3 linked regions of the Schizosaccharomyces pombe genome follow. Changing the gene in region 1 together with any one later gene gives a genetic interaction. Each region holds a gene or a part of one and is shown in the gene's direction. Other genes may lie near its edges.

The links.
Region 2: mutations in fsv1 (region 1) and rdl2 together harm fitness more than expected from each alone (negative genetic interaction), as found in Schizosaccharomyces pombe (one large-scale study listed by BioGRID).
Region 3: mutations in fsv1 (region 1) and saf4 together harm fitness more than expected from each alone (negative genetic interaction), as found in Schizosaccharomyces pombe (one large-scale study listed by BioGRID).

Annotation. Positions count from the first base shown.
Region 1 is NC_003424.3:1,312,601-1,316,070, reverse strand, and holds fsv1 (SNARE Stx8), read left to right. Parts: upstream 1-1,590; 5' UTR 1,591-1,606; coding exon 1,607-2,350; 3' UTR 2,351-2,835; downstream 2,836-3,470. Other genes in the region: DNA-binding transcription factor, glucose starvation sensing, Rst2, read right to left, coding at 3,388-3,470. UniProt on the Schizosaccharomyces pombe protein: Involved in vesicle-mediated protein transport between the Golgi and the vacuole.
Region 2 is NC_003424.3:3,838,006-3,841,182, reverse strand, and holds rdl2 (thiosulfate sulfurtransferase Rdl2), read left to right. Parts: upstream 1-1,712; 5' UTR 1,713-1,802; coding exon 1,803-1,901; exon of another isoform or gene 1,902-2,025; coding exon 2,026-2,077; exon of another isoform or gene 2,078-2,126; coding exon 2,127-2,346; exon of another isoform or gene 2,347-2,412; coding exon 2,413-2,470; 3' UTR 2,471-2,523; downstream 2,524-3,177.
Region 3 is NC_003423.3:1,786,023-1,790,960, reverse strand, and holds saf4 (splicing-associated factor Saf4), read left to right. Parts: upstream 1-1,914; coding exon 1,915-2,175; exon of another isoform or gene 2,176-2,220; coding exon 2,221-2,469; exon of another isoform or gene 2,470-2,524; coding exon 2,525-2,914; 3' UTR 2,915-3,043; coding exon of another isoform or gene 3,044-3,318; 3' UTR 3,319-3,353; downstream 3,354-4,938. Other genes in the region: PPR repeat-containing protein Ppr2, read left to right, coding at 279-1,577; SPOM_SPBC18H10.09 (zf-CHY type zinc finger protein), read right to left, coding at 3,044-3,318, 3,354-4,483, 4,547-4,629; ubiquitin hydrolase Ubp4, read left to right, coding at 4,713-4,820, 4,881-4,938.

The DNA of each region.
Region 1 (3,470 bases):
AAATTTTTCAAGCAATATGTATTTTAGTCGATGTTTGCTTAAAGACAAAGAGAAATGCAAGTTACTAAGCCTGCCTATGCTTACCGATGCGGTCATGCATATTTACGAACTATTGAAATACGGTAAATAAAAATAACGAATTCCATAATTCTCAACCAACTTTTTGTTGTTTACAGAAAATGAATAATTCAATTCATCGAAAATGCATTTTGTTTTCTATAGCATTCTTTGTACTGTTTTTGAAGTTAAAAACACTATCATTTAGTAAATAATGTACTTTCGACCCGGCTTTTTTTTGAGACAACTGTTGTTGACAATTTTAAGGTCTGTGGGTCAATTTATATATTTGTCAAACGTTCGTAAACAAATGTATTTGTATCTTAGTTTCATACGAGCTCCTTTAGCTATATGTGATCTACTCTCACTCGGGATCTACAGGGCTGTAAAATTTTTTGCACTCAAGTTTCACGCGATTATTATCAGATGCACCTGAATAAAAAAGAATAAAGTAAAATAAAAAGCCGAATGTTTTATAACGTAGTAAAATTCCTTCTTATTTTGATCGCTTTGCCATTCATTTGATTATGTTTATAATGATAATTTCACGTGCAATGTCAACTTTGATAGACGGCTACATCTATTTCTAATTCGTAACGCTATAAAAAAAAACTCCATTTTAAACTGAGAATAAAGCAAGAAGTCGATTAGCCGAATATAGATATCAGCATGATTCGTTTTAAACGGCCCAAAGCCTTGTATATATTTGAGTAATTTTCTACTGTACTTAATTGTCTGTAATTAAACAACTATTTGTTACTCCTACCTTGTTACACTTGGATTTAATACTCTGGAATTAGTGTACTAACTCCTAAATAAATATTTAAGTAGTATTTTTCTTTAAGATATTTCTTTAATAAACATTCTCTTCTAATGAAAAGAAAAGCGTCATTATTGGTATTTTAGTTTTCAGAGCAAAGAGGTACTTAACATTTATTATGTCGCAATTATTTTATATATATATTATATTAATATTTTGTAATGAGAAACCTAGGCCTAATAGTGTAGTGGTTAACATACCTCTTTCGGGTAATCCCCACTTGTATGCTGAGTTTAGAGGTGATCCCTGGTTCGAATCCTGGTTAGGCCCCTTTTTATACTGGGCTTGCTGTATAAATTTATCTGATTAATTTTGAAACTACGCAAACCAACTTTCAATAATTAAAAAGTTTTCCTTACACCTTGCTTGATTACCTTTTAATAGATGTGAAATAAGAACTACTAAATTTGTGATAAATACCGAAAACAATCAGAAGAGTCGAAAAGAAGCATTCAAAAAATTGTGTAAATAACGAGTAGGTTTCTAATAATACGATAATTTCACAGGATGCCTATAATGGATCTGGCAGCTAATGAGCAAATCATTTTTACTTTTTTTTTTATTTAAAACATACGAAAAGATTCTCTTTTTTTGCTGCAAACAAAATTTACTGTAATTGAACCTAGAATTGGTAGCAAAGGCATTACACCGTATTACTGTAAACTTCACTAATGTTTGTGTTTTTAGGCGCATGATGAACATGATTACTCAAGAAAGTAACCAGCGACTATGTCAAATTTGCTTCTGATCATTGACTCGGTTTCACAAAAAATAAGAGACAGGAGGAAGTTGGAAGAGTTTGGACAGAATCCCGATGAAGAAATTGAGTCTTCATTGAAAGATGTTCGGCAAGAATTGCAAAAACTTAATGAGGAGCAATCGCGATTAGAGAAAAATGCACAAATCCCAGAGTACAGAGTACGAGAATCCGAAGCATTTCTTATTAGAATGCAAAGGAGGTTAGAGTCTGCTGAGGAAGAGTTTGAGAAGCAGCGGCGTGCATCCTCAATTCCTGCTGACGGAACAAGTGCCTTTTCTGCAAACCCGCAAGTTGCAAGTACGAATAATAAGTTAACTCCCCTTCCTTCTTTACAAAAAACGACTTCGAGTAGTGAGGGATCTGATATTGAGATGGAGGCCATGTATCCGGTTGATGGCAATGACCCTGATCCCATAAACGTAAACGTTTTGGCTCAAATGCATCAGCAAATGCTCAACGAACAAGAAGAATCTTTAGGAGGGATCGAAGCAAGTGTCCAAAGGCAAAAGCGGATGGGATATGCAATGAATACAGAATTGTCCGAACAAAATGTTTTACTAGATAATATGAATAATGATGCTGATCGAATTGAGAGGAGGTTTGATCATGCAAAAAATCGATTAAACAAGGTCAGCCGAAAGGCTAAACAGTATCCCAGATGCTTTATTATTTTGCTCCTTTGTGCGTTGTTATTACTTGTGGCTTCCATTTAGGGTGCAAATAAATATCACTTAGCAATTGTACTTGCTGTAACTCTGTTACACTTTCACTTAATTCTTTTATTTCACGTCCTCTTTGAACTAGGCTATATAGTTCTTTTATTTATATTTAATAACCGTGATATTTACGAACTTTTTTTTTACGATTTTGAAAATGTTTTTGTGATCTTCAACTTCTTTTGCTAAACGAACCTTCCCTTTATAGGGAATACAGAAATTAACTTTTTCGTACATTCCAGTTTCTAACCATTGACTGTCTTTCTACTTTAGTAATTATTTTTCTGCTAGCGCATTTCTTATCGAAATCATTTTTGTGTTCTTTTAAGGGCCGTCCCCCTTGTTCACAAAGCTAGTTTTGACGACTTAAATCAAGTGAATATAGTGCATGCAGAGTGAATGCTTAATAACCATTTGTTACAAACTTTGTTTCGCTAATAACTCCTTATTTGACATTTGAATAAATAACCTATTAGACTTTCAAAATTTTTAGATTCAGGGCAGTAAACAATAAACAACAATATCTTCAATTAGCTGTATCAATTTATTTTCAGAAGTTTTGCTATATTATTCCTTCATCTCATTAAAAAATATTCTCTTCTATTATTAAACATACGTAGTCATGTTATCATTATCATTATTAAGGAAAAGTTTGAACGAGTAGATTCTTTCTTGAGAATTAAGGGAACATGTGCTTGAATGCCATTTTTTTCATCTTAAATATAAAGCCTCCGTTGCTATTGTTAACCATATCACGCTGAACCTTTTTTGATAATAAAATATCAGAAGCAACCCTCTTAACTAATGTGTTGTGAACCTCTCAGCATTGCATATCTTAGCGTAATTAAATATTCGGTAAAAGAGGATCGTTTTCCTATCAACAATTGAACCCCAAATCAAAATATTCAAAACTTCAGATCAATCCTTAAATTAATTAAAAACCGAATCAAAGCTAGTTGATTTTTGTTTAAAAAAACTAAAAGATGCATTTCATTAAGAAACAAATAGTATAAAATATAAAGATATGAAAAAAATTAAAATGAGGGCGGTTGATTCCGATTATTATCTGTAAGCAAACCGGAAGTTTCGGATACAGGATAATTAAAGTCTGAAGACC
Region 2 (3,177 bases), 2.5 Mb from region 1:
AAATTATGGCATTGTGATCATGGATCATTAAAAAAAAAATTAAATGTTGTAAAGGTGAATTGAAACGAAAGACAACCATCATTTCAAGCTAAACCTCAATCCAACATCCAAAGAATCAACTAAGACCTAACCGGTATTCACTCTTTAATATGATATCCCCTCTTTATCAGTGATGTTTTCGGGTATCGCAATTATGAAGTAAGTCATTCTTCATAATATTTGATTTCGATGGAAAAAAAGCGCAAAAAAAAAAGAGGAAGAAAATATTAACTAAATCAAAACAGTACGTAATTGGTATTCACAGTTGGATTAAAAGTCTGCTTAAGGAAATTAGCTATTAGCACTAGTTAGCTATGATCAACCGCCGACTGTTGTATTCGGTACCGAGCGACAAGGTTGGTACAATAAGGGACTAAGTGAATGAATGAAATTAATGAAAGCGAATGAATAAGGTAAATATTAATTTAATGGGTGAATTGTAAATAAATTATATTGAGTATTCGAGTGAAACAGATGAACTGTATCGAATTAACCGTTCATATATTTGTCCATAAAAGATTGTAAACCAGAGAGGTATCTTAAACACTGAATCTTACTGACCTTCATTTTTACAAGTTTTTATTTTCCTTCATCCATTGCAATCATTCATTTCGGATGATTGAATTGGAAAACATTGCCAATATGATTATTTAGGTTCATTATTTTATATATTTATTTATTGGCATAAAATTTTTACTACTAGTTTTTCTGCCGCTAAAAGAAACAATAATTTATTCTAGATATAAATTTCTTTTTTTATTTTTTATATTTTAATGGACGCATGTGAATCACTTTTCCATTTGAAATTTCAATTTTCAATAATATGCTGCTACCTTAGAACTTGCAATATTAAAATTGATGCGAAATCTTAGTAAACGTAATATCATGTGCAATACAATCAAAAGTGATTTGAACTGTGACCTAATATCAAAGGTGGACTTACAACCTGTTTTCTAATTGTACTGGCAAATTTAAACATCATGCTTACGTTAAACCTAGCGTTTCTCCATTGCGAGAATATCAGCACTCATAAAAATTTGTGTACTGTGATTTTTTTCCTATTACATTAGCATTGAAGCATGCCATGACATTACAGTACAGTGCATTTCAGGCCCGACGAGAAAAAATAAATAAATAAACTTACGTATACATCTATATAAATCAGCGTCGTATGAATTCCTGTTTTCTCCTAATGATAAAACAAACAACTGTAGCTCAATTGAAAATTAGAGTGCTTGTTTCTGTCAGTGTATTTCCAACAAACATAATTTTATGAATAACAAATTATCCATAAAATGCTTTTTGGTAAATCCATATGCTACCTCCATATAGTAATATACACAATTAAAGATCCGCAATTTTAAAGAACTGTGCCAAAGACGTACGTACAGTTCTATTCTATGAACTTATATACTGAATATGTAATTGTTTAAAAGTGAAACATAGAAAATGCGGCAACTTCATTTTTCCCGATGGATGAATCGCTCTTTTCTTGAATAGTAACTTTAAAAACTACCGTTTTAAAAAAGAAAAATATTATTGAAAAATCTCGAAAATACAAAGATCCATTTCATTTATTGATTCCTCTGAACACAAGCCCCTATAACACTTCAAACCTGCCGATTTCGTAATAGCGATCGTTCATATAATCATACTACTCACCGATCACGCTTATACCACTACCGTCAACTGTGGGAATCTGAGATTTAACCTGCCTGCTGAAAGGGGCCATCTAGCTGTAATAAACCTTGTTTTCACCCATAATGTTTTCTAAAACTCTTTCCGTATCTCGCCTCCTGATGACCCGCTCTTTCTACAGTTCTACAGTAGTTAAGAATGTCAGCATCTTTGATTTCGAAAAGGTAAACCAACATAGGAATACGTTTGCTTTCATATGCGATGTTTTCTGGTTAAAGCTAAGTTTTACACTTCGCTACTCTACTCTCCAAGTATTTTGGAATTATTAACGGTACTAACTTGAAATAGGTTTATAACCTTAGTAAAAGACCAACTGGCGACAAATCCACCGTTTTAATTGGTAAGGACAATACAATAGTGAGTTAAAACTTATTCTGCTAACATGTCAGACGTTCGTGAGCCCGATGAATTTAAGCAAGGTGCAATCGAAACTTCTTATAATTTACCTGTTGGAAAAATCGAGGAAGCCATGAAACTTAGTGACGAGGAGTTTTCCAAGACTTATGGATTCAGCAAACCCGTTTTTGAGGACAACGTTGTAGTTTACTGTCGCTCTGGTAGAAGAAGTACGACCGCTTCTGACATTCTCACCAAACTCGGCTATAAAAAGTATGTTTGTATAGGTGAACAATTCCACTTAATTTCGAGAACAGTGTTCAAAAACTAACCTTTTAGTATTGGAAACTACACTGGCTCATGGCTTGAGTGGTCCGACAAAATTAAGTCTAAGTGAGGGTAGACTCGAACGCTTTCCAGCCTTCTCACCCATTACGTTACCTTTTAGTTTTATATGTAGTTTAAGTTTCTAGAGTTGAATGCATGCATCGTATGCTTGCTCACCATTTTTAGATGATAAGTAAGGTGTACTTAGAAAACAAAAACAATTTTACTGCAATGTAACAATAAGGTGAATTGAACTATGATAAGTTACTTACTCAAGCGATTTATTCCTTCGCATTTCTATTGTCAAAGACTTCGACGAAAGGGTAAAGCTGTAAATACATTGGAAGCTATTAATATGGGAAAATATATTTTGAGACAGTCATTGTAGTTAATTCCGGGTTTAGAAAGAACACCTCCAAATTCAATTAAACTAGGGAATACAGTTCAAGCACGTGTTAAAGATAACTCTAAGAAATTAGTTTTCGAACAACCAGGTGGAATTAAAATTGATGGGTTTTTGACATTTAAAGGCTTGAAGAATACTATTCATACCTTGCCGGTTTGCTCAAAACGCGAATAACATTTTTTTCTTTTGCACTGAATGTTACAATCTCAATTACAAGTATGATTAGAAAGGAGACCTTTGAACTGACTGTCCCCTAAATTTCTAATGTAGAATTTTTACTTTCTCTAAATTTAAGAAAATTCAGAATCATACTTCATAATGTTACTCTTGCTAAAGAGAAAACTTGGATATGCCATAGTAATTAAACCAAT
Region 3 (4,938 bases), on another chromosome or scaffold:
ACAAGTAGATTTAGTTGTTTTGGTCATTAGGTGTTATTAGTAAATTCATCGCTAGTAGTTACTTTCATTGTAATTAGCTTTGTTAACTCATTTTTGCAATCTTTTGTGTGCATATAGTAATTTTACCTCGTCAAACAGCACTTTTACTCAACGTTGTACATAAGACGATGGTTGAACTAATGATGTAGTGTCTTCATTCGTAACAACTCATATTTTATAACTTACTTCCTACTAACGCGGTTTTAATCCTAAACTTGAATAAACTAGTGGTTTGTTTAATGCAATTCATTAAAAGGACATTTCCGCGAAGGGCCTTTGTCGATTTGCTCCTAAACCGCTTCTGCTTGCGGGAATTTGCAACCACGTATAGTGTTTCAGTAAGTAATGCGCGGAAATTAGTACGAAAGCGCCTTTTAATCGCTGATGCTTTGAAATTCAAGGAGCAAGTCAACAATCTAAATGAGTTTCGAAATAAAAAAACTAAGTCATCCTTAATAAGAAACGATGGTTTCAAACTGGCTAAAAATGTATCTTCGTTACTTCAAAAAGAGTCTTTAGAGAAAGCATTGCATTTACTGTACGAGAGATCAAATGCCAAGAAGACGGTTGCCTATAACCTTGTACTACAATATCATTTAGCTAAAGGGCATTACAACGCTGCTTGGTCTTTGTACAATGATATGAAAAAGCGCCAACAAAAACCTAGCGATCATACATACTCCATTCTTCTAAAGGGATTTTGCGATGCTATTGAAAAGAATAAGCAAGGAAATTTTTCTAAACTACGTGAATATAGTGAAAAGGTAACAGCTAGTGCTCTCAAGGAGTCTAATAATGTCACATCCAATTTGCATCACATACGAATTATATCCAAGTGTAGTCTAAAGCTTAAAAGTATGGTATTGGTGTCAATGATTATTCCATCCATCAAACAAACATTGGATTTCTATAGTGGATCTCAAATTCTTCGACTTTTGAACGACTTTTCTATGTTCAATCCGGAACAACGTGAAGAAGTGTTAAAGATGGGGACGAATCTTTGGAATTATTTTGTCCTTGAATGCCAAAAGAAAGGAATAGCAGTTGATGAAAGTCTTATTTGTTCCTTTGTGAAACTTCTGGCTACTAGCAACTCGCCTCAAGTGAGAAACGTGGGGTTAAATATTCTTACAAAAGTGATGGGATTGGAATATCAGATTTTCGAAGATTCCAACTTGCGTTATCCTTTACCCCCATATTGCGATTGTACTTCAAGAAGTTTGGTTACAGCATTACAGGTCATTCGTCAAATACAAAACGGTGATTTGTTAGCAAGGTATTGGAAGTATTTTGAGGAAAGTCACAAATTTGATTTAAATCTTCAAGTATATCATGAGAAGCTACGTAACCTTGTTCAGCAGGGCCAAGCAGCTGAATGCTTAAATACCATTAAAAGGATGTCGCATAACGGTCCTTTCCCTACTCAGCAGACATTTTTGATTGTCTTATCATTATGCAAAAGGCCGAAATTTTATAGCTACACGAAAAGCTTCTTAGACTTGGCCAAGAAATTGAACGTCCCCGTTGAAGCAACCTAAAAATATCATCAAGTGTTTAATAATTCATCGATACCTTTTTATGTCATTTATAATTTTCTATTAATTTATAAGAAATGAATTCAAATAATCGTCATGTAATTTATTTATTTGTACATGTTTACCTTGTCCGTTTGAAACTGTAGAATGGAACCCTTATTATTTTAACGTCAATTTAGCAAACGTAATTTAAAATTGTTTGTTGAAAAGCCATGAATTAACTAAGAGTTATAATTATGTTTCTGTTGCATGCCACTGATTTAGCCTGAACTTCACCTAGACGTAGTATTAACTTAGGAACTACTGATTTTGGGCATAAAGAGCTATATACTCACTAAAAATGCAAGGATTTAATATGGGGAAATATATTCCCCCGGAAGGGCCGAATGCTAAAAGAAAATTTGATAAATTACGAAATGTAATTCGGTTTGAAATGCCATTTCCAGTGTGGTGCAACAATTGTGAAAATATCATTCAACAAGGCACTAGATTCAATGCTGTTAAAAAAGAGATTGGCTCATACTATACTACGAAAATATGGTCATTCAGCTTAAAATGTCATTTATGCTCAAACCCTATCGATGTACATACGGATCCTAAGGTACTGGTTTGATTAATTTAACAAATTTGTTACTGACATAAATAGAATACAGAATACATCGTTGCTTCTGGAGGCAGAAGGAAAATTGAACCTCAAGACATCAATGAACGTCCTGCAAAAGCTGAAAACGACGAAAAGGTGCCGTCTGATGCAATTGAAGCGCTGGAAACCCAATTAACTCAGCAAAAGTCAGAAAAGCATAATAGTTCTGTAATAAACTTTATATATGAGAAAAATGAAAGGCTTTGGTCGGATCCTTTCGTTTCTTCTCAGAGGCTGCGAAAACAGTTTCGGGTAAGAAGAATTTGTTTTGCGTTAAAATTTTCATATTAACTAACCCATAACTTAGGAAAGGAAAAAAATTGAAAAAAAGCAAGAAGCTAAAGATCTATCTCTCAAAAACCGTGCAGCGTTGGACATTGATATATTACCACCCTCTTCTTCTGACAAGGATAAGGCATTATTGTTGCTAGATAACGAATTAGGAAAGAATAAATTTATAAGGAAATTAGATTATAGAAGAACATTAATGCCCTCTTCTAGAACATTTTCGACTTTTGCAAAGTTTGCTGAGACTTCATTCGCAAAAAAAGATCCTTTTGCTCGAAAATTTGTCCCTTCCGAGAAGCTAAGGAGCGAGCAAAGGAAATTTCCTACAGAAAATTTAAAGGGAGAGAAAATCCTTGAAGATAATTCGGTTTCTCTCGTCAATTATGAAGTGAGTGATGATGAAGGATAATTATTTTGGTTAAATACGAAGACTTTAAAAGTATCTTCTATCAAAAGATTAACTACTTGTTATTCATTAAATTTTTATACAATATGGGTATCTAATGAAGCAAAAAAATATGGATGTCATGCAACCCAATTAATTACCGTGATGCTTCCTTTTGTACTTCCTTGGATCCTTCCTACTCATGCGAACGCGATCGCGCATTCCTTTTCCTCCCTCCCAGTAGGCACTGGTTTGTTTTTTCACAGTCATATTTCCACAATGGGGGCAAGTTGCATCCTTTTTGTAGAAAGATTCCATGGCACAGTACCCACATATTATTCGATTAGCATGCTCAAATGTATGATTTTGATCAGCGTCATGACATTCATCACATGGATAAACACGATCACAACATGAAAAACGAAACCCTGATTGTTAATTATGAATTTTATAAACGACTTACATCTGAATGATTTTTTGTAATGTTCGCAAGCACCATTATTGGGAAGTGGCAATCCTTTCGTAATGTTTAAGTTTTGTTTTTGCTTCTTTTTTGCGCTCACCTTCCCGCCCATTGAACTTTGTCGTTGTTTTAACAAATGAAATTCGGTATCTTGATGTTCAACCAAGATTCTGTTTTTGCATACTTTACAAAACTGTAGCATGGGCTGCATGGAAGAAATACCTTTAAAGGATGTTATCTGCTCATCAACACATTCCATACAAGAGACCTGACAGTCAATGGGCATCACGTCAACCGGTACACATCCTAAAGTATGGAGGATACCTAAACGGGCATTATTTGGGTGAATCACACCAGGCACCCAAACTAATCTTAGAGTATTACTACACTTATTGCAAACAAGAGAAAATTTTGTAGCAATAGAAATTTCACTTCCATAATGGCACCGAACACACTTTATGACCAAACGTAAAATTGGTGCTTTGAGAGTACCGACATTAGTTAAATGCGGATTCTTCCATTCTAAGCAGTATTCGTTACCCAGAAGCTCTGTGTCTTTGCTCTGAATGTCATGATCGTTACTGTAAGCATCCTGTGGTTCATTAACATTTTGTAGATCATCTTCTTTCCCATCGTTTCCTCCTTTTGAATAAATAATTTTTTTTGGCTTTTCATCATTGAATAACTGTTCAGAGCCAGAGATGGTAGTTTTTGTTTGGGTAGTATTCTGCTTTTGACAGTGATTTTGACCACGCAGTACTTCATAGTCAAGTGTAGTGTTCAAATGAACCCTCTCTGATAGAGGTCCTTCAAGCTTATTTGCCAACGGCTCTAAGTCAGTTGGGGTTTCTGGTTTCTTAGAATCGACTTGTTGAACCATCAACTCACGCTCTTTTGTATTGCATGTCTCAAATGATTTCCAATTTTGTAACAAATAATTAAATAAACTTGTCAAAGTTGTTTTCTGATTTTGAAATGCCGTTTCAACGTACTTATTCATTGCCGTTTGCATGAACTCTTGATTTTTTTCAAGTAATACCGATATTTGAAACGGTTTATCTTTATTTATAACTAAAGTAATCAATCCATGATCACTGGGCAAGGATAAGAAAATCTCATTTCTTGCCTCTCTGGTACTAGTTAATAAAGATGTTTACATTAACTAACCCACAGCTAACCTGCTTAGTACTTACATAACTTCCGGATTAAGCCTTCGCCGGAATACTTGTATCTGCAAGTCCCAATTTGAATCCTTCATAGCTTCAATTGAAACCATAATAACCAAAAAAGGCTATAGTCTTGTAGTATTTGGTTCAATTCAGGTTAAGTCGCCAACACAAATACTCGGTTCTTCCTCGGATGTCCGATGATTATTTCGACAGACTATTTGAATTAGCATTCGTTTATATTAATGAAGATGAAACGATTCAAAGCTGTTCCTTCAGAGGACAACGCTGGCTTGAAGAGGTATGTCTAATTTTTCCGTGCCGTTTATAGTAATGTGCTTCAATTACTAACAGTTTTGAGGCCCAAACTCTTGAACAAAAAAATTCATTACTCAAAGCATACTATTACTATTTAAAAG